3 linked regions of the Xenopus tropicalis genome follow. The protein of the gene in region 1 purifies or fractionates together with the protein of each later gene. This does not show direct contact. Links are inferred from orthologs where the notes say so. Each region holds a gene or a part of one and is shown in the gene's direction. Other genes may lie near its edges. The genes, in order: cdk9, immt and ddx5.

Region 1 (10,240 bases):
TTTCCTGAGAACAGAACCTCCATCAGGGATTTTCATCATCAAAAAAGCACAGTATATTTTCTTCATTATGCAAAACACATTCTTGGGTAGAGTTCCCCTTTAATCTTGTAGTCAGGACAGAATGTGATTCCATTTAATACAGTGATTTTTTTCCACAATAGATAATTTATGTATTCTCCTAGTGTCTATGGGGAATTCTTCTGGGTACTCCGGTTTCCACCCACTCTCCAGGTTAACTGGCTGCTGATAAAACTTCCCCTTGTGTGTGTGAATGTGATAGGGACCTTGGATTGTAAGATCCACTGAGGCAGGGATTGATGGGAATGATGTTTAATCTTTATAAAGCACTGCAAAATATGCAGGAGCTATAAAAAGGATAATTAAGTAACCTACAAATATAGCATATTCTCACTGCATGTGGGCACTACATGGTCAGCATCTTCGGATCGCAGCTACCTCTAGGGTCATTACAGTCTACTATACCCAAGTTCCTGCAGCCATACTGAACAGAACAACACAACCCAGGTGATAATGGCATCATGAGAAGCCCTGCATCTCTGCCAAAGAGACAGCTATGCAGCGCGAAGCAAGTATGGTTATAGTGACTAGGCTATACTCAGTGTTCTGAGCTGCAGCATGCTCTTGCACTGGTGCATGCAAGGTGCACACAATAAAGCATGCAAGAAAATAGAAGAATGCTGCTCATACTTACGGAATTTCTTGTTCGTGGGTTTCTTTGTAGGGTCCCCCATTTTATCAGGTCAGGGGGTGGCAAGGCCAGGTCCCAGGTGCAAAATTCCTCAGTTTCTGTAACTTATTCTCAATGAGTGTAACGCACGTCTTCTGCTTCTCGACTCTGGCGGTTTATTTCCTTTCCTTCTGCTTGGGTAATAGTCGCACATGGCCCCCCCCCCCCCCGCCCTGTGAACTTGTAACTTTTCTGACACCCACTGTGGTTTTTTTTTTTGTTTTAGAGATGAGCCTTTGAACCACAAATTGGGTGTGAGTTAAGAAGGAGCAACTTTTCGCTGAACATCTAACAAATGACAACTCCCTTTGATCTGATCATTTTCTGTTCAGGAGCCACTGGTAGTATTGGCTGGCCCTGTGAGGTGCCCGGCTGTGCATTGTGCATCAGTACTATATACAGGGAACATGTTTGGCTTCCGTATTCTGTCTGCCTCTGCCAGCTTCCTGTGACTGAAGGCATGCATTAATGCATGGCCCCAGCGCACACTAATTAGTATCAGAAAATCTTGAGGTGCAACTGAAAATTTCTATGGCCCCCAGACTTTTTTCCAATGTTTTTACTTAGAAAGGAACAATCTGATTACAAACCTGTACTAAAATTGCATAAGTTAGGCCCCTCTTTTTTCCTGGCCCAAAGCAGTCACAGCACCCGCTGCATCCTGTTATGGCACAGGGATTCTGGCAAATGCCAGCAGGCCTGGTGTAAGAAGCCATAGACAGTCATTATTTAGTGGGCTGGTGGGAGGCAGTTTGGGCTTCTGGGTATTTGGAATGCCAGGGCCTATATTGACTCCCAGTCCAGACCTGGGTCCATCAGAGGGTGGATGTGCAGCTACTAGAGGTTGGCAGAAGAGGCACATGCATATGGATCAATTCTGGTGGTGGTGGTGGGATGCTAGGCACATACCTCTTCTGTCTTTCTCTACCCAGGCCTAGACTGGCAATTTGCGGTTTCTGGCAAATGCCAGAGGGGCTTCTGTAGGATGCCATAGACCAGCGTTTTTCAACCACTGTTCCGCGGCACACTAGTGTGCCGCGAGATGTTGCCTGGTGTGCCGTAGGCAGGGCCGCAATTTTTACTTTCAAAGGGGGCCCGGCGATGCTACAGTTTTTCTTAGTAGCTCGGGCCCCCTTTAATAAAATCCGGGCCCTGTCATTGGTTGCGCCCCGTGTGTACGGGTGACGTCAGTACGCACGGGGCGCAACGTTATAAAAGGGCCTGTGTGCGGTCGCGTGTAGGCAGAAGTGCAGAGGCGGCGCGCGTGAGGGAAAGATGCTGCTGAAGCCGCCGAAGAGCAGAAGTAAAATGCTGCTGGGCACCAATGTATTAGGGGGGGCCACGGGGCACACTGACTTATGGGGGCACTGCTGCTGGGCACCAATGTACTAGGGGGGCTGGCTCTTGGCACCAATGTACTGGGGGGCACTGCTGCTGGGCACCAATGTACTAGGGGGGCACTGCTCTTGGCACCAATGTACTAGGGGGGCACTGCTGCTGGGCACCAATGTACTGGGGGGCACTGCTGCTGGGCACCAATGTACTAGGGGGGCACTGCTCTTGGCACCAATGTACTAGGGGGGCACTGCTGCTGGGCACCAATGTACTAGGGGGGCACTGCTCTTGGCACCAATGTACTAGGGGGGCACTGCTGCTGGGCACCAGTGTACTAGGGGGGCACTGCTGCTGGGCACAGAGTTAAATTTTTTAACATTTTCTAATGGTGGTGTGCCTCGTGATTTTTTTCATGAAACAAGTGTGCCTTTGCCCAAAAAAGGTTGAAAAACACTGCCATAGACAGTCACTATTTGAGGGACTGTTTGGGCATCTGTTTAGTTGAAATGGACTGTGCCTACCCCTCGTTTGGACCTTGGGTAATGTTGCAGCTGGGCCAGTATTTTACCAGCCTGGCTGTTAAAAATTACGCTTGATGCCAATGTTATTAATAGGTTATAAAGTTAAAAATATAGGAAGGCCGGTATATTTTTTCAGAATAGGTAGCAACCATAGCTTGGGTACAGGTAAGGCAACACAGGGCTGATTCTTGGCCTGTGTATAAATATCTCTTTGCAAATCCCTATTCCACTTGCCACAAAAATAAAACCTGGAATTCAATCTGACCCTGTGTATAAGTATCTGTATGTTTGACATATAATGCTTCTCTGGTACAGCACTGTTGCATTAATAACAATAACCCAACTAGTTCTAGTTCTACAATACCTGTGATTGCAGTTTGATGTGTCTCTCTCATATCTGTTGCCTTGGTCAGTTGCCCTAGAAACAGGTGTAGGGAACCCCAGATTTGAACATTGGCGGAAAAGAAATCATTATAATCCTCCCATAACAAATAACACGGATTGCAAAACTCGTTTTTTCTCTTAGCAAAATGTAAAACCCTTTGCTTTTAATCAAAAGTTCAAGTTCCCCTCTGGGCCATTGAGTGACATGACACTGTAAACATCTTTGAGTGATGCAAAATATGGTTTCACACTGTTCGCAAAAGTTACAATTGAAGTCACCCCACCCGCCATATAGCATTTTTGTTCAAATGCAAATAGACTAGATTGTATTGAGCAGCCCCCTCCCTTCCGCTAGTTGGTCCCTCCCATTACCCTCACTGTGCTGTGTTTGGGCGATTCCATGTGAATAGGCGGAGGGTTGGAATACACAAGCGCGGCGAATTCTATTGGGCCACTGCGGGGTTGCGACTGAAAGAAATGCCGAGGCTGTAAGGCCTAAGACCGTCCTTAAACTGCTACTGACGCCTTCAGTGTTTTCACACACGTCTCCCAGTAGGAGTCCGAGGCTTTGCGGCCTAGCCCAAGTCAACCCGTCAGACAGCCTGAACTCGTCGGCTCAGCACCGGGAAAGGCCGGGGCCCGGCGGCCTGTGCCCGGAATCTGATTCTCGAGGGCCTTCCGGCTCGGAACCCCCTCCCTCCGCCATGGCCAAGAACTACGACTCGGTGGAATTCCCTTACTGTGATGAGGTCTCCAAGTACGAGCGGCTCGCCAAGATCGGCCAGGGCACCTTCGGGTTAGTTATCTGGTGTCCATATCCTTGTATAGCTTTTTAGCTGTAGACACACAAACAGAGTGAGATTACATAGTAACATAGTAAGTTGGGTTGAAAAAAGACATACGTCCATCACGTTCAACCATAATGCCTATATATAACCTGCCTAACTACTAGTTGATCCAGAGGAAGGCAAAAAACCCCATCTGAAGCCTCTCTAATTTGCTGCAGAGGGGAAAAAAATTCCTTCCTGACTCCCAAGATGGCAATCGGACCTGTCCCTGGATCAATAAATAGATTATTGACACAGATATGGAGTAGAAGTATACATCTATGGTACATAGCTATGTAAAAGGGGAATGTGTACCTGAGCTATGTAAAGGGCTATAACTAGGGATTTATAGTACATACAGTATGGAGTACACAAGGTATAGTTGGGATATTAGTATGGATCTATAGTTCATACAGTAATATATACACATCTATATTTATGACCTTATCCCTTTATACCTATTCTAACTATAGTGCCATACCATATATCCTTATCATTCCTCGCTATATAGCTCTGTCCAGATTCCCTGTCTCTGTATTGGGATTCTGCGAAGTACAGTTCCATGTTACACAGGTATGGGACCCATTATCCAGAATGCTCGGGACCTGGGGTTTTCCGGATAAGGGTTCTTTCCGTAATTTGGATCTACTACCTTAAGGGCTCTGGCACACGGGGAGATTAGTCGCCCGCGACAAATCTCCCCGAACTACCATCCCACACATGTAAGTCGCCGGTGGGATGGTACACGCTGCGCAGACGATTTTAGCAAATCGCCGAAGTTGCCTCACGAGGCATTTTCGTTGATTTGCAGAAATCGTGCCACCGCGTGTGCCATCACACCGGCGACTTACATGTTCGCCGGTGGGATGGCAACTCGGGGAGATTAGCCGCCCGCGAACAGGGAGATTTGTCGCGGGCGACTAATCTCCCCGTGTGCCAGAGCCCTTAAGGTAGTAGATCCAAATTACGGAAAGAACTGTAATTTGCGAATTAAATGATTTAAACAGTAAACACAATAGGATTGTTTTGTCTCCAATAAGGATTAATTATATCTTCTTTGGGATCAAGTACAAGGTACTGTTTTATTATTAGAGAGAAAAAGAAAATCATTTTAAAATGTTTATTATTTGATTAAAATGTAGTCTACGGCAGATGGCCTTTTCGTAATTTGGAACTTACTGGATAATGGGTTTCCGGATAAGGAGTCCGATACCTGTACAGTTTTTCTATCAATATAATTTTGCTGTATGTGCCATTATTCCTAGTCTGTATGTATAGTTTTATTACTGTACCCTAGATGAATGTTCTAAGTCGTTGTATAGCTGCAGGGTACAATCCCTATTATACAGTCACTGAGGGCTTTTCCTTTCTATCGGAAGGATGGCTGCCAATCATGGAAGTTCATTTATTTATTTTTTTTATGCTGGGAACTCATTGACTCATCTGTTTCTATGTGTTGGACCCACAGGGAAGTGTTCAAGGCCAAACATCGACAGACGGGGAAGAAAGTGGCACTTAAAAAAGTTCTGATGGAAAACGAGAAGGAAGGGGTAGGTACTAATGCTGTGGTCTGCATGTAACAAGACCCTTTTATACCATTCTGTTTAGTATTTTTATAGTGAATAATGCACCCCCATAGTAAAATAAAAGGATATTTTAAGTCACAGAGGAGTTCCATGGCCATATAAAGGACCCAGTGATTTTATACAGGTCATGAAACTCTAAGGCGGTGATCCCCAACCAGCTGTTTATGAGCCACATGTTGCTCCCCAACCCCTTGGATGTTGCTCCCAGTGGCCTCAAAGTAGGTGCTCATTTTTGAATTTCTGGCTTGGAGGCAAGTTTTGGTTGCTTAAAAACCCAATGTAAAGCCACAGTCCACATAGGGGCTACCAAAAAGCCAATTATAGCTCTTATTTGCACCCCTAGGACCTTTTTCCATGCTTGTGTTGCTCCCCAACACTTTTTCCATTTGAATGTGGCTCATGGGTATAAAAGGTTGGGGATCCCTGCTCTAAGGTAATGTCTAATATTCTCATATTTTACAACAGGGAGGTCCATTAATTATAATACCCAAGTAATGTGACGGGTATAACATCACTAAAAGCCAATTATAGCTGATGGCATCACTAAGCACCATTTATAAGGATATAGTTTATTATTTAATTATGGCACATGTGTGTCTCTAACTACATCTATCTAATGAAATCATGTTCTTTTTCTCAGTTTCCTATCACGGCTCTGCGAGAGATAAAAATCCTGCAGCTGCTGAAACACGAGAACGTAGTTAACCTCATAGAGATCTGTCGGACAAAAAGTAAGAAACATTTTGTGTCTCTCTCACTTTGTGCTGCATGTGCTGTGTTGGGGGGTTGCAGCTTGGGTGGTGGCTTTTACAGCCAAAGACACACACAGCATGGTTGTTGTGAATGTCCTGCCCCTTAGACTCCCTATCTCTGTCTGGCTCTGTCTTTCTTATCCTGCTTCAATTGAAAACCAAGCCAATGCCATACACATTGCATGGAAGCTGCAGCATCTCCTCTGCCAGGTGTAGAACAACCCAGTCCTTAAACCCAGTGACCCAGTCCTTCAACACAGTTTAGGTGGTGTTGGAGGGTTTCCAGTGGACTTGACAGTATTGGCTTATAAGCAATTTGACTGGGAGGGGAGTGTAGGGAACCTTGCTAAAGCAGATCACTCTATTTGTCAGGGGCTGACTTTGCGCCCTTTTGGTATATCAGTCATACTCTATTGCTACCCCTGCTGCCATAAGTCTAAATAGCAGTGCAGTGAGCTTTGCTATATATATGCATCGCATTGTTTTGGGGTAGACTCTTGCTCAATAAATTTGGTTACCTCTCTATGGCCCTTTAAAAGAAATATGTTCCTGGCAGGGGAGAGTGGGGTATAAAAGTGGAACCTAGCAAGACCAAATTATTTTTGGAACTATGTAGAATGCTAAGGCATAAACTCATAGCCAGAGTTGTGCCACAGTGCCTGCATTTGGTATGAGGGTCCCTGATGGACACATTTGGTCCTGCTTGGTGTCTGCCCTTTGTAAATGTGCAACTGTTGTGCTTATGCTGCTTTTGTGGGGCCGTGCTCTAGACTCTCTTGCCCACCTAGTTTCTCCCACAGCCAACCAGTACAATAGATGCAAAGGAACTATTTTCCTGGTGTTCGACTTTTGTGAGCATGATCTAGCAGGCTTGCTGAGCAATGCTCATGTCAAGTTCACGCTCTCCGAGATCAAGAAGGTAATGCAAATGCTGCTCAACGGCCTCTACTACATTCACCGGAACAAGGTGAGCAAGTGCTCCATTCTCTTCCCATCCTGGGCATTTACTGTTCTTGTAGGACCTGTGTCTAATGGACTCATGCCCACAGATCCTGCACAGAGACATGAAGGCAGCAAACGTACTGATCACCAGGGACGGAGTGTTGAAACTTGCAGACTTTGGGCTTGCCAGAGCATTCAGCCTTGCCAAGAACAGCCAGCCAAACAAGTACACCAATCGCGTGGTTACGCTCTGGTATCGGCCCCCTGAGCTACTCCTAGGTAAGGACGGTCATGTGGTTATATGCACTAATAAAGTCTGAATCCCCCAAAAAGGGAAGCTGTCGGGTCATAACATTCATGTCTGATGGAAGCCATAATAATAGTCTTTGCAATTGATCCAGCTCTGATGCAGGATATACTGTTAGCTAATGTATATCTTAAAGGGGACTTTAACTTTTAGCATGTTTATAGCAGCTTTTCAGTAGGTCTTCATTTTTTATTTATTGTTTTTGCTTTCCCCTTCTGACTCAGCTTTCACATGGGGGTCACTGACCCCAGTAGCCAAAAAACTATTGCTCTCTGAGGCAACAAATTTATTATTGTTGTTACTTTTTATTATCTTTCTAGTTAGGACCCCCTTTATTCATATTCCTGTCTCTTTCAAACCTTTGCCTGGTTGCTAGGTTAAATTGGGTCCTAGCAACCCAATAGCTGCTGAAATTCCAACTTGAAGAGCAACTGAACAAAAAAAACTAACACAAATGAAAAAACAAAAGTCAATTTGCAAATTGTTTCAAAATAGCACTCTGCATTAAATTAAAAGTTAATTTAAAGATGAACTACCCCTTTAAACAGTGTGGATAATATTTTTCCCATTTTCTGCTTGTAGGAGAGCGTGATTATGGTCCTCCCATTGATTTGTGGGGAGCAGGGTGCATCATGGCTGAGATGTGGACCAGAAGCCCCATTATGCAGGGGAATACGGAGCAGCATCAGCTAACACTCATCAGCCAATTATGCGGTTCCATCACACCAGAGGTGAGTTTTAATGAATTGCTCTGGTCCAGGATCATATCTAGGACTAAGTGGTCTCATTGGTCGTGGGATAACTAAACTAAAAAAAAGCAATTTACATTAATTATGTTTTATTCAGTTTCAGAGCTATTTAAGTATTTAAAGTTTTTAACTGCCAATAATGAATTTTTTAACAATGCTGTCACCTGCTGGTTGGTTCCTGTAACTGTTGTATTCTGATGTTGCTCTGCTTAGGAAAGAGATCAGAACCCTTAGATATCTGTAAATCTAATTAAACACCTAAACCGGATAGTTTATTTTATTAATATATTTTAGGTCTGGCCAAATGTGGACAAATATGAGTTGTACCAGAAGCTGGAACTGCCCAAAGGCCAGAAAAGAAAGGTGAAGGAAAGGTTAAAGGCTTATGTGAAAGATCTCTATGCACTGGACCTTATAGACAAGCTGTTGGTTTTGGACCCGGCTCAGAGAATCGACAGTGATGACGCCCTGAATCATGATTTCTTCTGGTCTGACCCGATGCCTTCTGATCTGAAGAACATGCTCTCTACTCACAATCAGTCCATGTTTGAATACTTGGCACCTCCTAGGAGAAGAGGCGGGCACATGCCCCAACAGCCAGCCAATCAGGCACGGAATCCTGCTGCCACAAACCAATCAGAATTTGACAGAGTCTTTTAAAGACATTCTTTATTATTTATTGGGAGGAAAAAAAAGACTTTTTTTAAAAATATATATATATTTTTTTTAATTCCTTTGTAAGTAAGCCTGTATAGTATGGGGAATAAGGACTAGCTGCATACTTTTGTTAGCATAATGATATTCAGAAGCGTGGCATTCGTGAAACAAAACTTTTAACTGTGATACTTAATCTAAAACTCTTGCTACCATGCTGATACACACTGGTCAGTGAATCGAAAGTTTTCCGAACAGCTTTCTGTGCTGCTGTACCTATGTACTTGATAGGGAATGTAAATAAAGTTTTATGTTCTCCTATTATTTTATGGCTTTCTTTCTTGCCATTTTAAATTATTATTAACATTTATTTATAAAGCACCAACATATTCCGCAGCGCTGTAAATAATCTGTTATTTCCATGGAACATAGGTTGTGTTCTCCACCAGTGTTTTTCAGCCAGCACATGCTGGCCATGCTGTTTTATTGGGAAATACAGGTAAAGTTTGAATAAATCATGGGCCCGGATTCTCCAGGCAGACACTGACTAGTGATGAGTGATAACATGCTGCCTACCCTGTTTCCACATTTTGGGGGATGGCCATTTTATGTATAAAACATACATTGGTTTGCTAAGTGGCCTAGTCCCTGCCCATAAATTGCTTCTACAGATATTCAGCCAATCAACTAATCATGTGATCCAATTGTTACTGAGTGGGCTACAGTTGAAACAGGGTCATCCATTGATAAGAATTGCCATGTTTGTGTATAAGGCCAGTTTGTACATATATTTGACTGGACGACTAGATATTCCAGAATGCTTTGGGCCTTTCCTAGTGGGGGCTAAGATTTATTATACCCCAGTTCTTCTGTCCCAAAACACTGGAGCACATTTAAAAACGCTGTGCAATATCCAGTAGAAACCAATCACAAATTAAACAATGAAAAGCAAATATGCAATTGGTTGACATGGGATACTGCCCACGTACAAATTTACCTAGTGTTGATAAATGAGCCTCCCTTACTATCCCGCGTACATAAGTACCTGGGCTGTAAGGCATAACAACCAATCTGTGATTAGTGTTCTACCCCCTCCCTCACTACAATTCAAGAGCCTGTTGCCTGTTTTTCATGTGCTTGGGCCCTTACACACAAGCATTCCAGTAATGGGTTCAGTTAACCATCAAACGCAGGTGAGACTCAACTGCATTTAGTGGCTCAGAGCAGCCCTGTAAGTACAACCTGCATATAAAATGTGCAGGGGTTGTTCACCTTTTATATTAACTTAGTATGTTGTACAGAATGCTATTCAGAGACAATTTGCAATTGGTCTTTATTTTTTTATGTGTGGTTTTTGAATTATTTGGCATTATATTCAGTCTCGAGTTTGGAATTTTAGCAGCTATATGGTTTGCTTGGGTCCACATTACCCTAG
Region 2 (10,336 bases), on another chromosome or scaffold:
AAAGTTAATTTTAAGGTGCAAACCCCTTTAAATTGATAGCCAATGTAACCCAAGCATAAAACAGAAAAAATGGCAGATTTTTTAGGGTGGCACAAATCTGGGGGCGACATGCCGCCCAGCCGCACCAAAACGTGGACATTTTGCTCCCAAAAATTGCCCCAGCTGACACTGTCCTGCTAATATAATTACACTGATAGCTTAACTATGAATCTGCCTAGTATTTATACGCTAACCTTACTGAGCCAGCCTAAAGGTGCAACAGGCCTATAACAGTAATGATTCAGGCCTTCACAGTTGTCCAAAGTAGCTCCCCATCTTGTATCCTGTTAGTCCACCTTTTACCATGTCAGTGACTTTGACATGCTCAGTGTGCCCTGGGCGGCTCTTGACAAGCTAAGGTTATCAGGCCATTAAAAATTAAGTAGAGAATGATGTTTATCTGTCATAGAAGCTGATACTCTAGGGTTGGTAATTCAATTAGAGACCAGAATTCACTGTTTTTTGAGGCACCATGTAATTACCATTGTACTGTGATGCCCCTAAGCTCAGGTAAGTGGCAGCAGCCTAAAGTGCATGCTGGGCACAAGCAGAAAAGATGGGGGGCTACTGGGGCATATTAAGAGACACAGATCTTCCCTGCTAAAGGGCTGTTGGTGCCTTGGGCTGGTACAGAACCAACAAAACATAATAAATAGCACGTCTAGCTTTGGGGAAATCCAACAGGTGATGTAGAAGCGATCTTATGTTCTCAATAAACATGCCAGCAGCTTCAAACTGACCTTATCCAGCCACAACCATCACCCCACTTTACTGGAAGCTCCGCCCACCTCTGGCTTATCATTATGAACTGTCACACCAAACCAAGAATTTGCTACCGGCTTTCAGCCACTGCTGTGAATGACAGCCTTACATTTATCGTATATAAGCCGATCCGAATATAAGCCGAGGTACCTAGTTTTACCTAAGAAAACTGGAAAAACCTATTGACTCGAGTATAAGCCTAGGCATCCATTTCTTTTAACACACCTGCACACTAGCTTGTGTCCGAGTAGTAAGGGCAAAGTAGTAAGGGCAAAGTAGTAAGGGCAGCGCCGGATTACTTGTCCAACCGGCCAGCCATCTAAATGTTATCATTTAGATGGTTTGCATGTAGCAATACAGTGATATCCCGGCTCCTGCAATGGCTGCTGTCTGTACCACAAGCACAATCACACACAATCACTAAGAAAAGATAGGAAAGACAACTTATCTGGAAAAGTCCCAATCATTCTGGATAATAGGTCCTATTCCTGTTATGGCTGATTGTCAGTGAAGGAACCACACAACAGAATCTGTTTAGCAAACTGTGGCTTTCAAGTCAGAGCAGTTTCACTGAGGTGCTCCTCGCTCCTCTCACAGGCAGCCTAGTCAGTTGGAGGCAGACACTTTTATAACTAGGGATGCACCAAATCCAGGATTCGGTTCAGTATTCGGCCAGGATTTGGCTGAATCCACAGTCCTGGCTGAACCGAATCCTAATTAGCACATGCTAATTAGAATTTGGATGGGGTAAATGTCCGCGTGAATTTTTTTTTTTTACCCAATGCTAATTAGGATTCGGTTCAGTATTCATCCGAATCTTTTGGAATGGAATTGGGGGGTTCGGCCGAACCCAAAAAACTGGGTTCAGTGCATTAATATTTATAACACAGAAGCGAGGTTAATTAAACAGCATTGACCTTAAGGGCCCCATACACGGGCCGATTCTAGCTGCTGATATGGGTCCCTTAGACACTACCGACAGGACTGCCAGACCGATATCCAGCCTGAAATCAGCCAGATCTCTATCTCGGGTATAGACTTTGCCTATACCCCCAGGGCCAAATGATTGAATTAGCCTGGATTCTCCCAATATCGCTCCCACCCAACATCGCCAAGCGAGCGGTTCTTATGGTGTATAGGCACCTTTAGAGCTGCTGGCAGAAATATTGCTTCTCTTTCCCACAAAATCCCTCATTCTGCCACACTGTATAGAATAGATAGGTTATACAGAGTATATAATAATACAGAGTAGATATAGTTATATAGGTCCATGCCAGATTACCATAAGGGCAGCACAGATAGACGCCCATGGTTTCCAGGGGAAATAGTAATGTGAAGCTGGGGACTGGCCTGGGACAGATCTAGGGCATGAGGCCGGTATGGACTGGGATACAAAATAGTCCCTGGCATTGCAAGTACACAGAGGCACAAACAGCCCCCCCCCAGCCCAATAAATAGTGACTGTCTGTGGCACCTTACAGCCCCCCTGGCATTCCCAGTACCCAGAGGCACAAACAGCCCCCCCAGCCCAATAAATAGTGACTGTCTGTGGCACCTTACAGCCCCCCTGGCATTCCCAGTACCCAGAGGCACAAACAGCCCCCCCCAGCCCAATAAATAGTGACTGTCTGTGGCACCTTACAGCCCCCCTGGCATTCCCAGTACCCAGAGGCACAAACAGCCCCCCCAGCAGCCCAATAAATAGTGAGTGACTATGGCACCTTACAGCAGCCCCTCTGGCATTCCCAGTACCCAGAGGCACAAACAGCCCCCCCAGCCCAATAAATAGTGAGTGTCTGTGGCACCTTACAGCCCCCCTGGCATTCCCAGTACCCAGAGGCACAAACAGCCCCCCCAGCCCAATAAATAGTGACTGTCTGTGGCACCTTACAGCCCCCCTGGCATTCCCAGTACCCAGAGGCACAAACAGCCCCCCCCCAGCCCAATAAATAGTGAGTGTCTGTGGCACCTTACAGCCCCCCTGGCATTCCCAGTACCCAGAGGCACAAACAGCCCCCCCCCAGCCCAATAAATAGTGAGTGTCTGTGGCACCTTACAGCCCCCCTGGCATTCCCAGTACCCAGAGGCACAAACAGCACCCCCAGCCCAATAAATAGTGACTGTCTGTGGCACCTTACAGCCCCCCTGGCATTCCCAGTACCCAGAGGCACAAACAGCCCCCCCAGCCCAATAAATAGTGACTGTCTGTGGCACCTTACAGCAGCCCCTCTGGTATTACAGATTGCCAGTCAGACCTGCCATGATGCACTGCCCCAACCCCACGGCCAACGTTACTCTGCCCCCTGGGTGTGCTCAGGACATAGCTGGGGATTTCTCGTTGGGCAGGACTAAAACCCTTCAGAAAATCACCTCTGTGTCAGTGTGCTGAACCCCTTCTACCACCTTTCTGAAGAGTTACATAGTGCCATTGTGAGTGGATTAGTGGAAGAGTACATATGCTGAGGGCTTCCCATACCAGTCAGTTGAACTGAAGAAGCTGCTCGGATGAGTAGTGAAATGTCTTCAATGATCACCAAACAAGTCCAGTTGCTTTAAATTTATTTATACTAGATAACCCCTTCTAATGTTTTAAAACATGGTTGACAGGTAAAACAAATAAAACTAGTCATTTATTATTATTATTAATAGCATTTATTTATAAAGCGCCAACATATCCCGCAGCGCTGTATAATAAGTGGGTTCCATACATTGGCATACCTCCCAACTGTCCCGCTTTTCGCGGGACAGTCCCGACTTTCATTACTCAGCCCGCTGTCCCGGATTTTTGTTTAAATGTCCCGCTTTTCAATTGCCCGCTTGTGACTGTGACGTCATGATTAGACTGCTCCGGGAAGCACAGAAAGATTGTGATGTGAACGCTGCAACGGAGATTCCAAGCCGACAGGATGGATTTATTGCTGTTGCCCTCTGCTCTTTTATGGCTCCTTCTCCCCTGCTGCCAGTATGTATGTTAGTAGCAGCTCACTACAGAAGCCTCCCTGTCTCCCACTCCTACCAATTCCTCCCCCCTTCCCGGTACCAGGCCCGGATTTGTGGAGAGGCCACAAAGGCCCGGGCCTAGGGCGGCAGAAGTTTAGGGGCGGCATGCCGCCCCGCCGCAAAAAAAAAATTAAATTTGGCTCCCATACGGAGCAGTCGGGACCTCTCCCCACTGCTCCGTATGGCATTTTTAAAGAGCGCATGCGCACTGGTGGGGCCGCTTTCGCGCATGCGCACAGGAGGGCGCGCTTTCGCGCATGCGCACTGGGGGCGCTTTCGCGCATGCGCACGGGTGGGGAGGGGACGACCGACAGGGGTGGCCTCGGGGCGCCCAAAACAGAAATCCGGCCCTGCCCGGTACAAGTTTCACTAAGCTGTTTACCTGCTACCCCCTACACCTCTTTCACTGCTGAGCTCTCTTTAGCTGTCTCCTTCTGATAACCTCCCTACCCAGAGTTATCCTGAACCTTTAGGCCAACATTTCCTTAACCCCAGTCTTCCTTACTGGTACAGGACAAAACCCTGATGGTGGTCAGTGTATCATCTATAATACTACCTGCAGGGTAATTAGCTTAACCATGTTAGTTTGCTACAACTCCCTGCATTCATTAATATCTAAAATACATTTTGCTTTCTATTAAAAGTATTGCTGAAAGGATATTGCCTTATACTTCTCACTGTAATGTATGCCTTATACATACACTGTAATGCTTGTGCAACAATGAGTGTCATGACATGCTGTGCTACTGTGTATGGGGGCACTGTGTATGGGGGGCACCTGTGTATGGGGGGGCAAAACTGGTACATAGTTATAACTCACATATAACTCACTGCCTTCTCTCTATATTTGTATTTATATGTAGGAGTTGCTATAATGTTTCCCTTAGGCAGTACAGTATGAGAGTATAGCACATTTGCGTCTGATCCCGCCATTTTAACTATATAAAAGGAGTATTTTTTTAATGGGGTGTGGTAATTGGGGCGTGGTCACAAAAGAGGGTGTGGTCAAAAAAATTGCCGCGCTGCGCGCACCAAATCTTTTTGTCCCTCTTTTCATTTTTCAAATGTTGGGAGGTATGCATGGGACATACAGAGTAACATATAAAGCAATCAATAACCGATACAAGAGGTGAAGAGGGCCCTGCCCAAAAGAGCTTACACTCTACAAGGAGACATACAGAGTAACATATAAAGCAATCAATAACCGGTACAAGAGGTGAAGAGAGCCCTGCCCAAAAGAGCTTACACTCTACACAAAGTTATTACAGAAACAGCTGTGACTTGTGAAACTATGCAAAGGATAGTTCTCTAGGTGTATCAGCTGCTTCTGCTACATTGCTGTGAGTCAGAACCCGCGGTGCACAGACTGTAACCAGGCAGGCACTGCTTTCAGCCATCACAGAGCTGCACAGAGAGTGTAAAGTTTATTTTAACCACATTTTATTGCGCAAAAGCCAGTTTCATGGTGAAAGTCCCCTTTATTAATACGTAGTGCGAAAAGTCATGTGGTACAAACTCTATAACACTGCGATAAACCACAACACACGATATCCCTGTTAGGAACTACAAGTACCAGCATGCCCCAGCCATGAGACCCGTATTGGATACGCAAATCCCTATCTTGTTCTCAGAAGTGTTATTAATAAAGCTGTTGAATTAAAAAAAAAATCAAGCTGTCATGCCATAGTGGGCGTACCCCGGCGAATGACGTAGGCGGAGCTAGAGGTGCTACACGGACCGCGCCTCCATTCATGCCGTACTGAGAGCGCTCCCGGAGCTTGCCCTCCCCATCACACCGGAGAACATGCTGCGGGTGTGCAGGAAGGCCCAGGCGGCGGTGCTCGCCAAGGTGAGTGGATAGCGCGAAAGAGTACACAGTGTTGCAGTGAGGGAGCTTCTAGTTGGGAGAATGGGCGGGGATGGATTCTGACAGGATATCGCCTAAAGGCCGGGAAACAGCAGTACTGAGCCTTACGAAGTAAGGGACCCCGGCTTCCAAGGCTGGGAGCCGTCAGCGGCGCCTAGGACTTCCTTTCACTCCAGCCAATTACAGGCAACCGCTTTAACAAGCTGCAGGCTGACCGGCCAATCAGATTCCAATGTCCTTGGCACTTTAGCCAATTACCCCTTGGTTAAATATATGACGCTGCTCGGGCGGGGCTAGCGTTAGATTGACGTCTGTTAGACCTATAACGTGGTTAGTTGTTTTGACGGACGTTCTGTGAAGCCAATGAGCGATGTATATTTTGGCAGGTAGAATGGAAAGCTATAGTGGCGAGGGACTGTGAGGCGGCATGGGGCTAGGTCACCGGGGCACACGGCCTGTATACGGCCTAAAGTTTATTTTAGCCTCAGTGGCTAATTGTACCCTCCTGCGAGAGCGCCCCTGTCTGCATAAACCCCACTTGTCTTTTGCCTGTAGGTGTGACCTTGCTTGGTGTCCCATCCCCAGGGCCTAGCTCCTATCTGGTGCCAGGGACAGTACAGAGAGTGGCAAAGAGCTTAGTTAAAGTTATTGGACCACAACTCCCAGCATCCCTTGACAGCCTTTTGCGACAGTTAAGGTTTGCTTTTTGATTGGGAGAAAATATCATCTTTTCATTCTTCCATATAAATTGTATAAAAGCGCTGCTTCACCTTCACCATTGTGTCTTTTTATTACTTATCTTTCTATGTAGGCCCTCTTCTATTCATATTCCCATCTACCTTTTAAACCACTGGCTGGTTGCTAGGTTAAATCGGACCCTAGCAACCATACAGCTGCTAAAATGTAAAATTGGGGAGCTGTTGAACACAAAGAAAAATATATCAAAACCTGCAAGTAATTAAAAATGAAGACCAATTGCAAACTGTTGCAGAATAGCACTCTCTGCATCATACTAAAAGTTCATTTCAATGTAAACTGCCCCTTTATATGTACATTGTGTTGTATGAAGCAGATCTAATGATGTATAGAGCGTTGGCACTCTGCCTTCTACTTTCTAATCTGTATCTGACCCCAGCCCAGGGTAGGAATCCTTATACAGGTGTACTAGGGACCTGGGGAAGGTATATTTCCATTATTTGGATCTCCATACTTAATAATTAAAAGCTGAAATAAACCCAGTAGGATTGTTTTGCCACTCACATGGATCTGTGCTGCTTAGTTACCATCTCATACAAGGTACTGTTCTAATATTTCAGAGAAATAGGAAATCGGAATTATTTGCTTATAATAAAGTCTGCAGAATATTAAAGATGAACTCTGGCTTCTGCGCCAAAATGTGTTACAGAGCCCCACACAGCACAGAAACCCCCCAAATCCCTATCACTGTAATCTGTTCCTTCAAAAAGTAGGAATAAATACCATTTTATATGCTGAAATCCAGCTGCAAAACAGTTCTTCTCTTTCTGCATCATTTGAAATCCTGGCAGGGGAGAAGGGACTAAAACATTGATGTTACAAATTGTAACAACTTCTCCACAGCTTACTGACAGCATGCAGGAACCCACAAATTCTCCGACATGGGGGCAATATCAACAGGAGCCAGTTAACTTTCCCCTATATTGCTGGAGGATGCACAGCAATGGCACAGAGGAACGTTACTCAGATGCCAAGCACACAGTGCCCAATCTGCACGTAATGCTCAGCAATGTGGGGCAGGAATGCTACTTAACGTGCCACCCTGCTCCCATTGATAGCCGTGCCCTTGGATGTTGATATGAATAGGTCACTATGCTATCTTTTTTTACCCACAATGCAGTTTTTATCCCCCCCCCCCAGCAAAATGGCAGGTACCCTCTAAGGCTTATGGCACAAGGGGAGATTTTCTGCCCATGGCTAAATCTGGGCTGCCGCGGGCAAGGAAATAAGCACTGTATATGCTTTCCCACTGTCAACTTACTTTACTGCTGGTTGCAAAGCATTTTGGGGAGATTTGTCACCCACAGTAACCCAGATTTAACCAAGGGTGACAAATCTCCCCTCAGGCCCAAAATGGCAGTCTATGGATTGCTGTAAGGTGCCACAGACAGTCACTATTTATTGGGCTGCTGGGGGGCTGTTTGTGCCTCTGGGTACTGGGAATGCCAGGGGGGCTGTAAGGTGCCACAGACAGTCACTATTTATTGGGCTGGGGGGGCTGTTTGTGCCTCTGGGTACTGGGAATGCCAGGGGGGCTGTAAGGTGCCACAGACAGTCACTATTTATTGGGCTGGGGGGGCTGTTTGTGCCTCTGGGTACTGGGAATGCCAGGGGGGCTGTAAGGTGCCACAGACAGTCACTATTTATTGGGCTGCTGGGGGGCTGTTTGTGCCTCTGGGTACTGGGAATGCCAGGGGGGCTGTAAGGTGCCACAGACAGTCACTATTTATTGGGCTGGGGGGCTGTTTGTGCCTCTGGGTACTGGGAATGCCAGAGGGGCTGCTGTAAGATGCCACAGACAGTCACTATTTATTGGGCTGGGGGGGCTGTTTGGGCCTCTGTGTACTGGGAATGCCAGAGGGGCTGCTGTAAGATGCCACAGACAGTCACTATTTATTGGGCTGCCGGGGGGCTGTTTGGGCCTCTGGGTACTTGTAATGCCAGGGACTATTTTGTATCCTAGTCCGGGCCTGTATCCCTGTGTGTCCTGTGAGCTGCAGCCTGTGTGAGGGGACAGATTATCATCCACTTTGGGAAATTGTGGTGCCGTGTGTGTTGCCAGTTTTTCCTAATTGCTGTGTGTGTGCCTTTATTTGTGCCAGTAATGCAGGGGGGCATCAGCTAGTTTGCAAATGGGTTGCATGTGTGGTTGCGTCAGTACAGCCGGCATGAAGGCTTCTCACTTACCCATGGGCCCTGTACCCTGGGCGCTGTTCCTCAGAGCAGGCTGAACTGCTGCAAAGTACAAGGTGTCGGTGTAAATAAGATTTAAGCACACAGAATTGCATGTGTATATGAGCCTTAATATGTACTATACATTTGTTTCACTAGTTGTACAGGTGCAACGTGGAGCTGTTTGGGTGAGGGGGCTGTTTGCTTTCTGCCCTGATCTGGTGGCTGCACACTTCCTTGTGCTGTATATATGGGGTACCCTTCACAGGGGTTTGTCCGGTTGCCATTGATCATTGGTTGTGTATAAAGGAAATATTTCCATTCATGTTCTACTTATCTTATGTGCAGTGTAACATTCTGCAGTATACTAATAGTATCTAATGATAATGATTTACAGACCGCAAACACACACTCTAAAGGTCCCCATACACGGGCCGATAGTAGCTGCCGATATGGGTCCCTTAGACCGATTCGGTAGCTAATCAGCCCATGTATGGGCGCTACCGACGGGCCTGCCCGACCGATATCTGGCCCGAAATCGGCCGGATCTCGATTGGGCGGGTTAGAAAATCTAGTCAGATCGGGGACTGCATCGGCTCGTTGATGTGGTCCCCAGACCGACTTTGCCTATACCTGTCATTATAATTCGATCATTTGGTCCCAGGGCCAAACAATCGAATTACCCTGGATTCTCCCAATATCACCCACCCGTAGGTGGGGATATCGGGAGAAGATATGTTGCCAAGCGAGCGGATCTTATGGTGTATGGGGACCTTTACTTGCAAATAAAAACTCTTGTGAGTTTATTTATTTACTAACTTTTGCTCCGGGTCTAGTAACTCATGGCAACCAATGATATGATTGCTTTCATGATTCTGACTGCTCTAGACCAGTACAAACTGCTACCCAATGCCCTGTGGGGAAATGCCTAATATGCAGTTGGTTACAAGGACATTCTAAGCACAATATTCCCTAAATTGGGGTTCAGGTAATAACCTTAGGGAAAGAATGGGGTAAAGCAAGAACATGTTATGTAGCTATTTTAAAGACTTTACTGAACTGTAGAGCTGTTCTGTTGTTGGAACTGAGGGGTTAATCATATTTTGTGCCGGCTGGTGTCTCTGCTGGATTTTCCTTTGTAACCTTGGTAACCCATGAATTGGCACCCTGTTAGTGGAACGTATTCCTGCCAGGCATCCTGCTGCAGCACCCTCTGCTCTTGCGGTTGGTCTCGGCCGGGCTGGGCAGGCGCCTTTGAGCCTCCGTGGAACCAGTGAGTCATTAGGAAACCAGGAAATGTATCTGGCTTGTCTGCAGCATCACTTGGCATCATTTACTTGCCGGGGCCTATGAGCAGTACTGATCTCCCATACTGACTGCACTGGTTAATAGGAAATATAATGTCCTGGAATTTCCATTTCAAAGGAAGTGCTAACAGTTACACACAGCCTCTATAATGTATTGGCTTTGATACCAGTGCTCCCAGTGCACCCAGATGTCACTTCCCTGCAAGTTAAACCTATAGTGATTATGCCACCGGGGGGGCTACTGTAAGATGCCATAGACCTGCCCTTTCTATTAGGCCTGAGGGAGGGATGTATGTGCCTCTGTGTATTTGGACTCTCAGGCTGTGCATAATCAATACATTTTCCTTGTTTGTTCTCTATTAGGAATGCCTGTGTAGCAGAGTATCCCTCCGTCCCTTGCGTGCAGCCAGATCCTACTCTACTGCTGAATCAT
Region 3 (10,336 bases), on another chromosome or scaffold:
AGACTTACTAGTTACCTGAAGTCTAACGGGTGTATTTGGCTACTCAGTGCGGCTAAAAGCCAACTGTTACGCACATATAACACAGTACTAGGCAGGGACACAGTGGGGAGGAATTGGCAGGGACACAGTGGGGAGGAAGTTGCAGGGACACAGTGGGGAGGAAGTGGCAGGGACACAGTGGGGAGGAATTGGCAGGGACACAGTGGGGAGGAAGTGGCAGGGACACAGTGGGGAGGAAGTGGCAGGGACACAGTGGGGAGGAAGTGGCAGGGACACAGTGGGGAGGAAGTGGCAGGGACACAGTGGGGAGGAAGTGGCAGGGACACAGTGGGGAGGAATACGCAGTGACACAGTGGGGAGGAATTGGCAGGGACACAGTGGGGAGGAATTGGCAGGGACACAGTGGGGAGGAAGTGGCAGGGACACAGTGGGGAGGAAGTGGCAGGGACACAGTGGGGAGGAATTGGCAGGGACACAGTGGGGAGGAAGTGGCAGGGACACAGTGGGGAGGAATTGGCAGGGACACAGTGGGGAGGAATTGGCAGGGACACAGTGGGGAGGAAGTGGCAGGGACACAGTGGGGAGGAAGTGGCAGGGACACAGTGGGGAGGAATTGGCAGGGACACAGTGGGGAGGAATTGGCAGGGACACAGCGGGGAGGAATACGCAGCAACACAGTGGGGAGGAAGTGGCAGGGACACAGTGGGGAGGAATATGCAGCGACACAGTGGGAGGAAGTGGCGGGACACAGTGGGGAGGAATTGGCAGGGACACAGCGGGGAGGAATACGCAGCAACACAGTGGGGAGGAAGTGGCAGGGACACAGTGGGGAGGAAGTGGCAGGGGGGAGGAAGTGGCAGGGACACAGTGGGGAGGAATGGCACAGTGGGGAGGAAGTGGCAGGGACACAGTGGGGAGGAATTGGCAGGGACACAGGGGGGGAATTGGCACAGTGGGACACAGTGGGGAGGAAGTGTCAGGGACACAGTGGGGAGGAAGTGGCAGGGACACAGTGGGGAGGAAGTGGCAGGGACAGTGGGGAGGAAGTGGCAGGGGCACAGTGGGGGACAGGGACACAGTGGGGAGGAAGTGGCAGGGACACAGTGGGGAGGAAGTGGCAGGGACACAGTGGGGAGGAAGTGGCAGGGCACAGTGGGGGGAAGTGGGGAAGTGGCAGGGACACAGTGGGGAGGAATTGGCAGGGACACAGTGGGGAGGAAGTGGCAGGGACACAGTGGGGAGGAATTGGCAGGGACACAGTGGGGAGGAAGTGGCAGGGACACAGTGGGGAGGAATTGGCAGGGACACAGTGGGGGGGAAGTGGCAGGGACACAGTGGGGAGGATTGGCAGGGACACAGTGGACAGGGAGGACACAGTGGGGAGGAAGTGGCAGGGACACAGTGGGGAGGAAGTGGGGAGGAATTGGCAGGGACACAGTGGGGAGGAATTGGCAGGGGACACAGTGGGGGAAGTGGCAGGACACAGTGGGGGAGGGCAAGTGGCAGGGACACAGTGGGGGAAGTGGCAGGGGCACAGTGGGGAGGAAGTGGCAGGGGCACAGTGGGGAAGTGGCAGGGACACAGTGGGGAGGAATTGGCAGGGACACAGTGGGGGAAAGGGCCAGTGGGTGGGGAGGAAGTGGCAGCACAGTGGGGAGGAAGTGGCAGGGACACAGTGGGGAGGAAGTGGCAGGGACACAGTGGGAGGAAGTGGCAGGGACACAGTGGAGGAAGTGGCAGGGACACAGTGGGGAGGAATTGGCAGGGACACAGTGGGGTGGCATTGGCAGGGACAGGGGGAGTGGCAGGGACACAGTGGGGAGGAAGTGGCAGGGACACAGTGGGGAGGAAGTGGCAGGGCACAGTGGGGAGGAAGTGGCAGGACAGTGGGGAGGAAGTTGGGGGGAGGAAACACAGTGGGGAGGAAGTGGCAGGGCAACAGTGGGGAGGAAGTGGCAGGGACACAGTGGGGGGGAAGTGGCAGGGACACAGTGGGGAGGAATTGGCAGGACACAGTGGGGAGGAAGTGGCAGGGACACAGTGGGAGGAAGTGGCAGGGACACAGTGGGGAGGAATTGGCAGGGAACAGGGACACAGTGGGGAGGAAGTGGCAGGGACACAGTGGGGAGGAATTGGCAGGGACACAGTGGGGAGGAAGGCAGGGACACAGTGGGGAGGAAGTGGCAGGGAGGGGGGGATGGCAGGGACACAGTGGGGAGGAAGTGGCAGGGACACAGTGGGGAGGAATTGGCAGGGGACACAGTGGGGGAGGAATGGCAGGGACACAGTGGGGAGGAATTGGCAGGGACACAGTGGGGAGGAATTGGCAGGGACACAGTGGGGAGGAAGTGGCAGGACACAGTGGGGAGGAATTGGCAGGGACACAGTGGGGAGGAATTTGGCAGGGACACAGTGGGGAGGAAGTGGCAGGGACACAGTGGGGAGGAAATTGGCAGGGACACAGTGGGGAGGAATGGCAGGGACACAGTGGGGAGGAATTGGCAGGACACAGTGGGGAGGAATGGCAGGGACACAGTGGGAGGAATTGGCAGGGACACAGTGGGGGAGGAATTGGCAGGGACACAGTGGGGAGGAAGTGGCAGGGACACAGTGGGGAGGAATTGCAGGGACACAGTGGGGAGGAAGTGGCAGGGACACAGTGGGGGAGAATTGGCAGGGACACAGTGGGGGAGGAAGTGGCAGGGACACAGTGGGGAGGAAGTGCAGGGACACAGTGGGGAGGAAGTGGCAGGGACACAGTGGGGAGGAATTGGCAGGGACAGAGTGGGGAAGGAATTGGCAGGGACACAGTGGGGGGAATTTGCAGGGACACAGTGGGGAGGAATTGGCAGGGACAGAGTGGGAAGAATTGGCAGGGACACAGTGGGGAGGGGAATTGGCAGGGACACAGTGGGGAGGAATTGGCAGGGGCACAGTGGGAGAAGTGGCAGGGACACAGTGGGGAGAGATTGGCAGGGGCACAGTGGGGGAGGAAGTGGCAGGGGACACAGTGGGGAGGAAGTGCAGGGACACAGTGGGGAGGAATTGGCAGGGACACAGTGGGGAGGAATTGGCAGGGCACAGTGGGGAGGAATTGGCAGGACACAGTGGGGAGGAAGTGGCAGGGACACAGTGGGGAGGAATTGGCAGGGCACAGTGGGGAGAAGTGGAGGGCAGGCAGTGGGGAGGAAGTGGCAGGGACACAGTGGGGAGGAAGTGGCAGGGACACAGTGGGGAGGAAGTGGCAGGGGCACAGTGGGGAGGAAGTGGCAGGGGCACAGTGGGGAGGAAGTGGCAGGGACACAGTGGGGAGGAATTGGCAGGGACACAGTGGGGAGGAAGTGGCAGGGACACAGTGGGGAGGAAGTGGCAGGGACACAGTGGGGAGGAAGTGGCAGGGACACAGTGGGGAGGAAGTGGCAGGGACACAGTGGGGAGGAATTGGCAGGGCTCCTCAGCAGTAGGAACAAAACCTTGAGCGGGAAGGCTCAAGCACTTACTAATGGGGACTGTATGTAGCCCGTATATGTATGAGGCAATATAGTTGTACCCATTGGGTGTGCCTGGCGGGGCTAATAAGGGAACACAGCCTTACTGGCCTTGCCTCATCCCACGCAACACACACTGACTAACATGAGCCACAGATAATAAAATTCCGGGAAAAGGCGCATTGCCGGTCACATGGTCACATCGCTTAGTCTCTGCCGCCATCTTTACTTTGGGCCGGTGTCCCGCTACCAGTACGTGGTCGATATCCCGCTACAAAAGCGGGAGCAGCCGCTGCCCCACGCTCACGGTTCAGTTTGCAATATCGTTGGGGCGGAAGCCAGGAAAAAGGTTAACACCGAGCGGCTGGTCGGTTTTTCTACTTGTTGGACAGGTTTCCCTGAAGCAATATGGCGGCGGTAGGTCAAGGCCCCGCCCCGCGGAGGAATATGGTGACGTCAGTTGCCGGCCGGCCTTATATAAGGTGTGTGCGCGCTGCGTGTTACTTCCCTTCCTGCCGAGCCCTCCCGTCTGTACAGCCGCTCCCGGAACGCCCTTTGTGTAACGCCATGCCCGGATTCAACGACAGGGACCGCGCCCGGGACAGGGGGTACGTACTCGGGGGTCTCCCCGTGAGGTGCCGGCAGCTTCTGGCAGAGGCCAGTGGGGAGTTTGTTTGGGCTTAATGTTTCCGCCCGATGGCGGCTGGTACGGTAGGTAGGCATTATGGGATGTGTGTGTGTGGGGGGCCCATGAGTAACGGGGCTTCCGAGCGATGGATTGTATTGTTCGGCTCCCGGGAGGCGGGGCTCGGCGAGACAAGATGGCGGAGGCACCAGTTGCGGCTCTTTGTCTCTGCACAAAATGGCGGCGGGGGGGGGAAGGGCTCTCCTTCTATTGCCTTGTCTGGCGCTTGTACTGCCCTCCGTACTTGTACTGCCCTCACTCCCTGCCGCCTCCCCGCCGCCTCACTCCCCTCTCCCCGGCCGCCTCACTCCCCTCTCCCCGGCCGCCTCACTCCCCTCTCCCCGGGGCCGCCTCACTCCCCTCTCCCCGGGGCCGCCTCACTCCCCTCTCCCCCGGGCCGCCTCACTCCCCTCTCCCCCGGGGCCGCCTCACTCCCCTCTCCCCCGGGGCCGCCTCACTCCCCTCTCCCCGGGGCCGCCTCACTCCCCTCTCCCTGCCGCTTTATTCTTTTATCTTCCTTTGTCGCTATTTATCCTGGCAGCTGTTTATCTACCCGGGTGTATTCCCCTGGTACTTCCCCCATAGCAACTGCCCTATTGTGTGGCATCTCTATCTGCCTGGGTATATTCCCATAGCAACTATCCTATTGTGTTGCACCTTCTTGTGCTATCTGCCTGGGTATATTCCTTTGGTACTGCTCCCATAGTACCTGCCCTATTGTGTGGCCTCTGTCTGCCTGGGTATATTCCCATAGCACCTGCCCTATTGTGTGGCCTCTGTCTGCCTGGGTATATTCCCATAGCAACTGCCCTATTGTGTGGCATCTGTCTGCCTGGGTATATTCCCATAGTACCTGCCCTATTGTGTGGCCTCTGTCTGCCTGGGTATATTCCCATAGCAACTGCCCTATTGTGTGGCATCTGTCTGCCTGGGTATATTCCCATAGTACCTGCCCTATTGTGTGGCATCTGTCTGCCTGGGTATATTCCCATAGTACCTGTCCTATTGTGTGGCATCTGTCTGCCTGGGTATATTCCCATAGTACCTGCCCTATTGTGTGGCATCTGTCTGCCTGGGTATATTCCCATAGTACCTGCCCTATTGTGTGGCATCTGTCTGCCTGGGTATATTCCCATAGTACCTGCCCTATTGTGTGGCATCTGTCTGCCTGGGTATATTCCCATAGTACCTGTCCTATTGTGTGGCATCTGTCTGCCTGGGTATATTCCCATAGTACCTGTCCTATTGTGTGGCATCTGTCTGCCTGGGTATATTCCCATAGTACCTGCCCTATTGTGTGGCATCTGTCTGCCTGGGTATATTCCCATAGTACCTGTCCTATTGTGTGGCATCTGTCTGCCTGGGTATATTCCCATAGTACCTGCCCTATTGTGTGGCATCTGTCTGCCTGGGTATATTCCCATAGTACCTGCCCTATTGTGTGGCACGCTGCTGGCATATCTGTGTAGTGTCCCCTGGGTATGATCAGTCTGCCTGTAACCAGGAACAAGGTGTACTTGCAGAATATCCCTGCTGGGTTTATAGACTCTCCTACAGTTGCCCCATGCTGGGGCAGAGCTCTCACCTAGCAGTACCTGCAGTCTGGGTGCAACTGCTCCTTGCACTGCTGATTAGGCAACCACTTGGCACCTCCCTCTGTCGGTTTATGTAACACTGGCACGGCATGCCCTCAGGGAACCTACTTGGCATATACCCAGCACAGTTCAGTGGCCATTTTGCATAGGCCTCTCTCCCCTGGGGTTCTGCGCAGTAATGGGAAGGAAGGTGATGCTTCTAACTTAAAAACAAATTATCATTTTCCTGATGGCTTTTCTGGGTCTGATTATGGGCCTAGTGAGGTGCCAGGATGGAATCCTGTAAAGGACCAGGACTGGCATTGGCTGCACTAAAAATAAATGCTTTTTTCTGGCAGTGCCCATTTGTTGTGCCTGCTCATGGAATAGCTGAGGGCCGCACCTCTGTTAAATATACTGCCTGCCAGATATGTGTTGCATCTGATCAGTGTGTGCTGTCTCTGCTCTAAAGCTGGCCACACGTGGTCGCACGAAAGATCGTTCCAACCCTCCACTGACGTTCAGGGCTGAATCGTCCGATAGAGGTAGAAACAATAGGATTTCTGCAGATTCAGCCGTGAAAATAGATTTTGCTCAGGTGTCTTTAATGGAGCCTCCTGCGATCTTGCCATACACGCACCGAATATAAACAAGGTTGGTGTGTGTATGGCCAACTTTACTCTGGGGCTGTCTGAGAGTTGGCTTTGGAGCCCAGGCTTCTCTTTGCCAATGGTGGGATCTCCCCCTAAAGCAGAGTAGTTTGTAGCTTCCTGTGTATTCTTAGTGACTGCATATGAATGGCCCCTTGCATATCGGAGAGCATTGTCCTGCTCTGCATGGCCATTGTCAGTAGGGCAGTACCAAGCCAGGAGTCTGCTTTGTCGCCCAGTTGGTTCTTATTGTTTGCATTGACCCTTTTGTCTTATATTCAGATTTGGAGGTGGTCCTCGCTTTGGGGGAAACCGAGGTGGTACATCTGGCAAATATGGAAACCCTGGGGAGCGGCTTATGAAGAAGAAATGGAACCTGGATGAACTGCCCAAATTTGAGAAGAATTTCTATCAAGAACATCCAGATGTTGTGAGACGGACACCGGTGAGTTTGCTGCCTGATTGGGATGAACCAGCTTGGCACTGGGTACCTCTCACAGCTATCTGCACATTAGGAAGGCTTCTTATTGTATGTTTCAGCTAACATGGGCTGTGCCCTAGGTGTATGGCACCATCTTTTCATAGAAACTGCCTGGCTGGCTAGCACGGGTGGTTATTATGTATTGTAAATGATTGCTATGGAGATCAGTGCTTTGTCCTGTCCTGCTGCTGTTGGATAGGGTGGATATTTACCTGGGACATTCCTTATGGAGAGATTTGGGTGCTCTAGACCCCTGTAATTATAGTAAATAAATGAGTGTTCATTGGGCCACTACACTATCTAACTGAAATGGCCAGGGGGGTTGCTCAGATTACTAAATCCAATATGGACTTTGTTTTGCAGCAAGAATGTGACCAATACAGAAGAAGCAAAGAGATCACCGTACGAGGGCTTAACTGTCCAAAGCCAGTTTTGCAGTTCCATGAAGCAAGTTTCCCAGGTAAATCCCCTGCCCCTCATCTCTGCAGCTCTTTATGTTGTGTTGGAATCGGCCTGACCGCTCTGTCTCCCTATAGCCAATCTCATGGAAGTGGTTAAACGGCAGAACTTCACTGACCCCACTCCTATTCAAGGGCAGGGATGGCCAGTGGCTCTGAGTGGGCTGGATATGGTTGGTGTTGCAATGACTGGATCCGGAAAGACCCTTTCTGTAAGTACTAGGCTGGTGATGCTGTTCATGCTGGCACATGTGCAAATGTTAGTAAGTTAACCCTTTACATCTTGTTTGCAGTATCTACTTCCTGGGATTGTCCATATCAACCATCAGCCATTCCTACAGCGAGGAGATGGTCCAATTGTAAGTAGGCTTACTGCAGAACATCTGAAACCTTCTCTGAGGGCATGGTGTATTTAGGGATGGCTTGGCAATGGGGTTAGACTGTAACAATCTTACTGACCAGAACTTTATAAAAGCACAGCTTTCTCTGAGCAACAGTCACCCCCTAATTAAGGTGATTGAATTGCAGGTCTAAGCTTAATATCCCATGTAGTAGCAATCAAGTAAATTGTGTCGGTGGATTGCTGCTATTCTATACTTGGCAGAAATGAATAGGTTCTGTTGGTATTTGTATAGTGAATTCACTTGGTACTGCATTCAGGTTAATTGAAGTTATACAGTGCTTACCCCTAAATATGTTGACAAAATGCCACAAATTGTTAGGCTGGGGTGAGACTATACAAACCTGTGGGGTGCTAGGGTTCTTGCTTTGTCAGTGATCAAGATGGAGAAAATAGATCTGCATCACAGGCTCTGGAAAAGAACAGAATCTAGAGCAACATTGCTAGCCCTTCATACAAATCCAAAACCATGCAGTCTGTCAGAATATCTGCAGCTTTAGAACAGTGCAGTGCTTTCTCCAAGAATAGAACTCTGCATGTACCTTTTACAATCTGGTGGGAATAGATTTCAGAACCACATCTCTATTTCCAGAGATTTCTGTAAAGACATAAACCATAATCTAACATGTTTCCTTACAGCTTTTGGTGCTGGCACCAACCAGGGAATTGGCTCAACAGGTTCAACAAGTGGCAGCTGAGTATGGGAGAGCTTGTCGTTTGAGGTCCACCTGTATTTATGGGGGAGCTCCAAAGGGACCACAGATACGTGATCTAGAAAGAGGTGAGACATCTCACAATATGTCCTGTGTACCTTGATATCTCCCATTTGCTATGGTTCTAAACAATGCTGTTTCTTTAGGAGTTGAAATCTGCATTGCTACACCCGGAAGGCTGATAGATTTCCTTGAAGCAGGAAAGACCAATCTGAACAGATGCACATATCTAGTGCTGGATGAAGCTGACCGGATGCTTGACATGGGCTTTGAGCCTCAGATCAGAAAGATAGTGGATCAAATTCGAGTAAGTGCAGCTTTGCTTAAAGGAGACCTAGGATAAATGCCTAACAGTCCCAGCCAGAAGCACAGTACTAGGGAAAACCAATCGCAGCCCTGCACTCGCACAAGCCAGGCTTCAGTTCCATATCAGGTCAGCCTAGCTGCTGATTGGTTCCTATCCTACAGTGCAGTGTACTGGGAGCTGCCGGCTCCCCTGCACATTCAGAGAATTCAGTCAGCAGGAAGTGGAACAGATGGGCGGGGGGACTACTGGTATATTGGTGGAATTTCTCACTAAGTCCAAAACACAAATGCAATCCTTCCATATCTAGGAGAATGAATCACTGGTATATTTTTATAGGATGTCTCCTATGTTCCTATGGTCATTCCAACTGTGTGGGATACTTACTGCTTGTTTTGTTTCTAGCCTGACAGACAGACGCTGATGTGGAGTGCCACTTGGCCCAAAGAAGTCAGGCAACTTGCTGAAGACTTCCTCAGAGATTATGTTCATATTAACATTGGTGCCCTGGAGCTCAGTGCCAACCACAATATCCTTCAGATTGTTGATGTGTGTAATGATGGGGAGAAGGATGAAAAGTGAGTTTGTATTAATGTGTAAACTTTTTCTAATTCCCACTCACCACTCTCTCATCTGGCTAACTTGTCCATTACCAGCTGTGGTTACACATTGTAGCAGTGCCAGGCTGCAGTTAGCCATGAAGGTTAGAATAGCATTTTGGCTGCCCTAAGGCATTACTTTAACATAGCACGGCCTTATGCTAACTGAAACGTTGACCTGTTGATGCTGGATTTATGAATTGCATCTTTTCTTTAAGGCTTGTTCGTTTGATGGAGGAAATTATGAGTGAAAAAGAAAATAAGACCATAGTGTTTGTTGAGACCAAGAGGCGATGTGATGACTTGACTCGCAGGTTGAGGAGGGATGGGTAAGGATGATTTCAAACTTTCCATGAGCGCTATTGCACTTCCATTCTATGTCTCTTTAATATTGAAAATGGGGAGGGGCCTGTTTAAACTCCAGATGCTGGTGCTTTATGGAAAGTGTTTTCTTTCATGATGAGGGGAATGTTTTGTACTTACAGGTGGCCTGCAATGGGAATCCATGGTGATAAGAGCCAGCAGGAACGTGACTGGGTCTTAAATGGTAGGCAAGCTGTGCACATTATTGCTAAGCTGGCAATTATAGGTTCTTTGCATTTCCTAAAACTGTGTTCCATCCTTGCAGAGTTCAAACACGGTAAATCGCCTATCCTGATTGCCACAGACGTTGCTTCCAGAGGTCTAGGTTAGTACGTTCAATCTGTTTTTGCTCGGTGAAAGCCAATGAACGGACGACTGTTGTGAAATGTCATTGTTTTAAAGAAAGTGATTTGCTTTCTTTAACCTCTGCAATTCTCTTGAGTTTTGTTTTTCACAAAGGTGCGGTCTTTGTGGCAAGGCCTAGGCATGACATTCGGAGGACGCAAGGGGATGGAGGACTAGTGGAAATTGGCTGTCTGCTTCCAGTTGTGTAGAGAAGTGGAAAGCTGAGCATCGTGTGCCAGTATCTTCAAAAGGCAAAATTTAACTTGTACCCCCTCC

Evidence for each region.
Region 2: the proteins of cdk9 (region 1) and immt purify together in Homo sapiens (affinity purification with mass spectrometry; 3 studies listed by BioGRID, with this or other methods). This does not show direct contact. The link is inferred for Xenopus tropicalis from reciprocal best matches to the Homo sapiens genes CDK9 and IMMT.
Region 3: the proteins of cdk9 (region 1) and ddx5 purify together in Homo sapiens (affinity purification with western blotting; 3 studies listed by BioGRID, with this or other methods). This does not show direct contact. The link is inferred for Xenopus tropicalis from reciprocal best matches to the Homo sapiens genes CDK9 and DDX5.

Annotation. Positions count from the first base shown.
Region 1 is NC_030684.2:24,558,659-24,568,898, reverse strand, and holds cdk9 (cyclin-dependent kinase 9), read left to right. Parts: upstream 1-3,379; 5' UTR 3,380-3,692; coding exon 3,693-3,784; intron 3,785-5,283; coding exon 5,284-5,365; intron 5,366-6,041; coding exon 6,042-6,132; intron 6,133-6,923; coding exon of another isoform or gene 6,924-6,941; coding exon 6,942-7,120; intron 7,121-7,202; coding exon 7,203-7,374; intron 7,375-7,984; coding exon 7,985-8,133; intron 8,134-8,445; coding exon 8,446-8,811; 3' UTR 8,812-9,127; downstream 9,128-10,240. Other genes in the region: sh2d3c (SH2 domain-containing protein 3C), read right to left, coding at 713-752. UniProt on the Homo sapiens protein: Protein kinase involved in the regulation of transcription.
Region 2 is NC_030677.2:17,820,700-17,831,035, reverse strand, and holds the start of immt (MICOS complex subunit MIC60), read left to right. Parts: upstream 1-5,477; 5' UTR 5,478-5,605; coding exon 5,606-5,650; intron 5,651-10,266; coding exon 10,267-10,336. UniProt on the Homo sapiens protein: Component of the MICOS complex, a large protein complex of the mitochondrial inner membrane that plays crucial roles in the maintenance of crista junctions, inner membrane architecture, and formation of contact sites to the outer membrane.
Region 3 is NC_030686.2:51,530,526-51,540,861, forward strand, and holds the start of ddx5 (probable ATP-dependent RNA helicase DDX5), read left to right. Parts: upstream 1-4,037; 5' UTR 4,038-4,055; coding exon 4,056-4,096; intron 4,097-6,679; coding exon 6,680-6,842; intron 6,843-7,241; coding exon 7,242-7,338; intron 7,339-7,414; coding exon 7,415-7,548; intron 7,549-7,629; coding exon 7,630-7,695; intron 7,696-8,375; coding exon 8,376-8,517; intron 8,518-8,595; coding exon 8,596-8,756; intron 8,757-9,158; coding exon 9,159-9,331; intron 9,332-9,570; coding exon 9,571-9,681; intron 9,682-9,837; coding exon 9,838-9,899; intron 9,900-9,980; coding exon 9,981-10,040; intron 10,041-10,336. UniProt on the Homo sapiens protein: Involved in the alternative regulation of pre-mRNA splicing; its RNA helicase activity is necessary for increasing tau exon 10 inclusion and occurs in a RBM4-dependent manner. Binds to the tau pre-mRNA in the stem-loop region downstream of exon 10.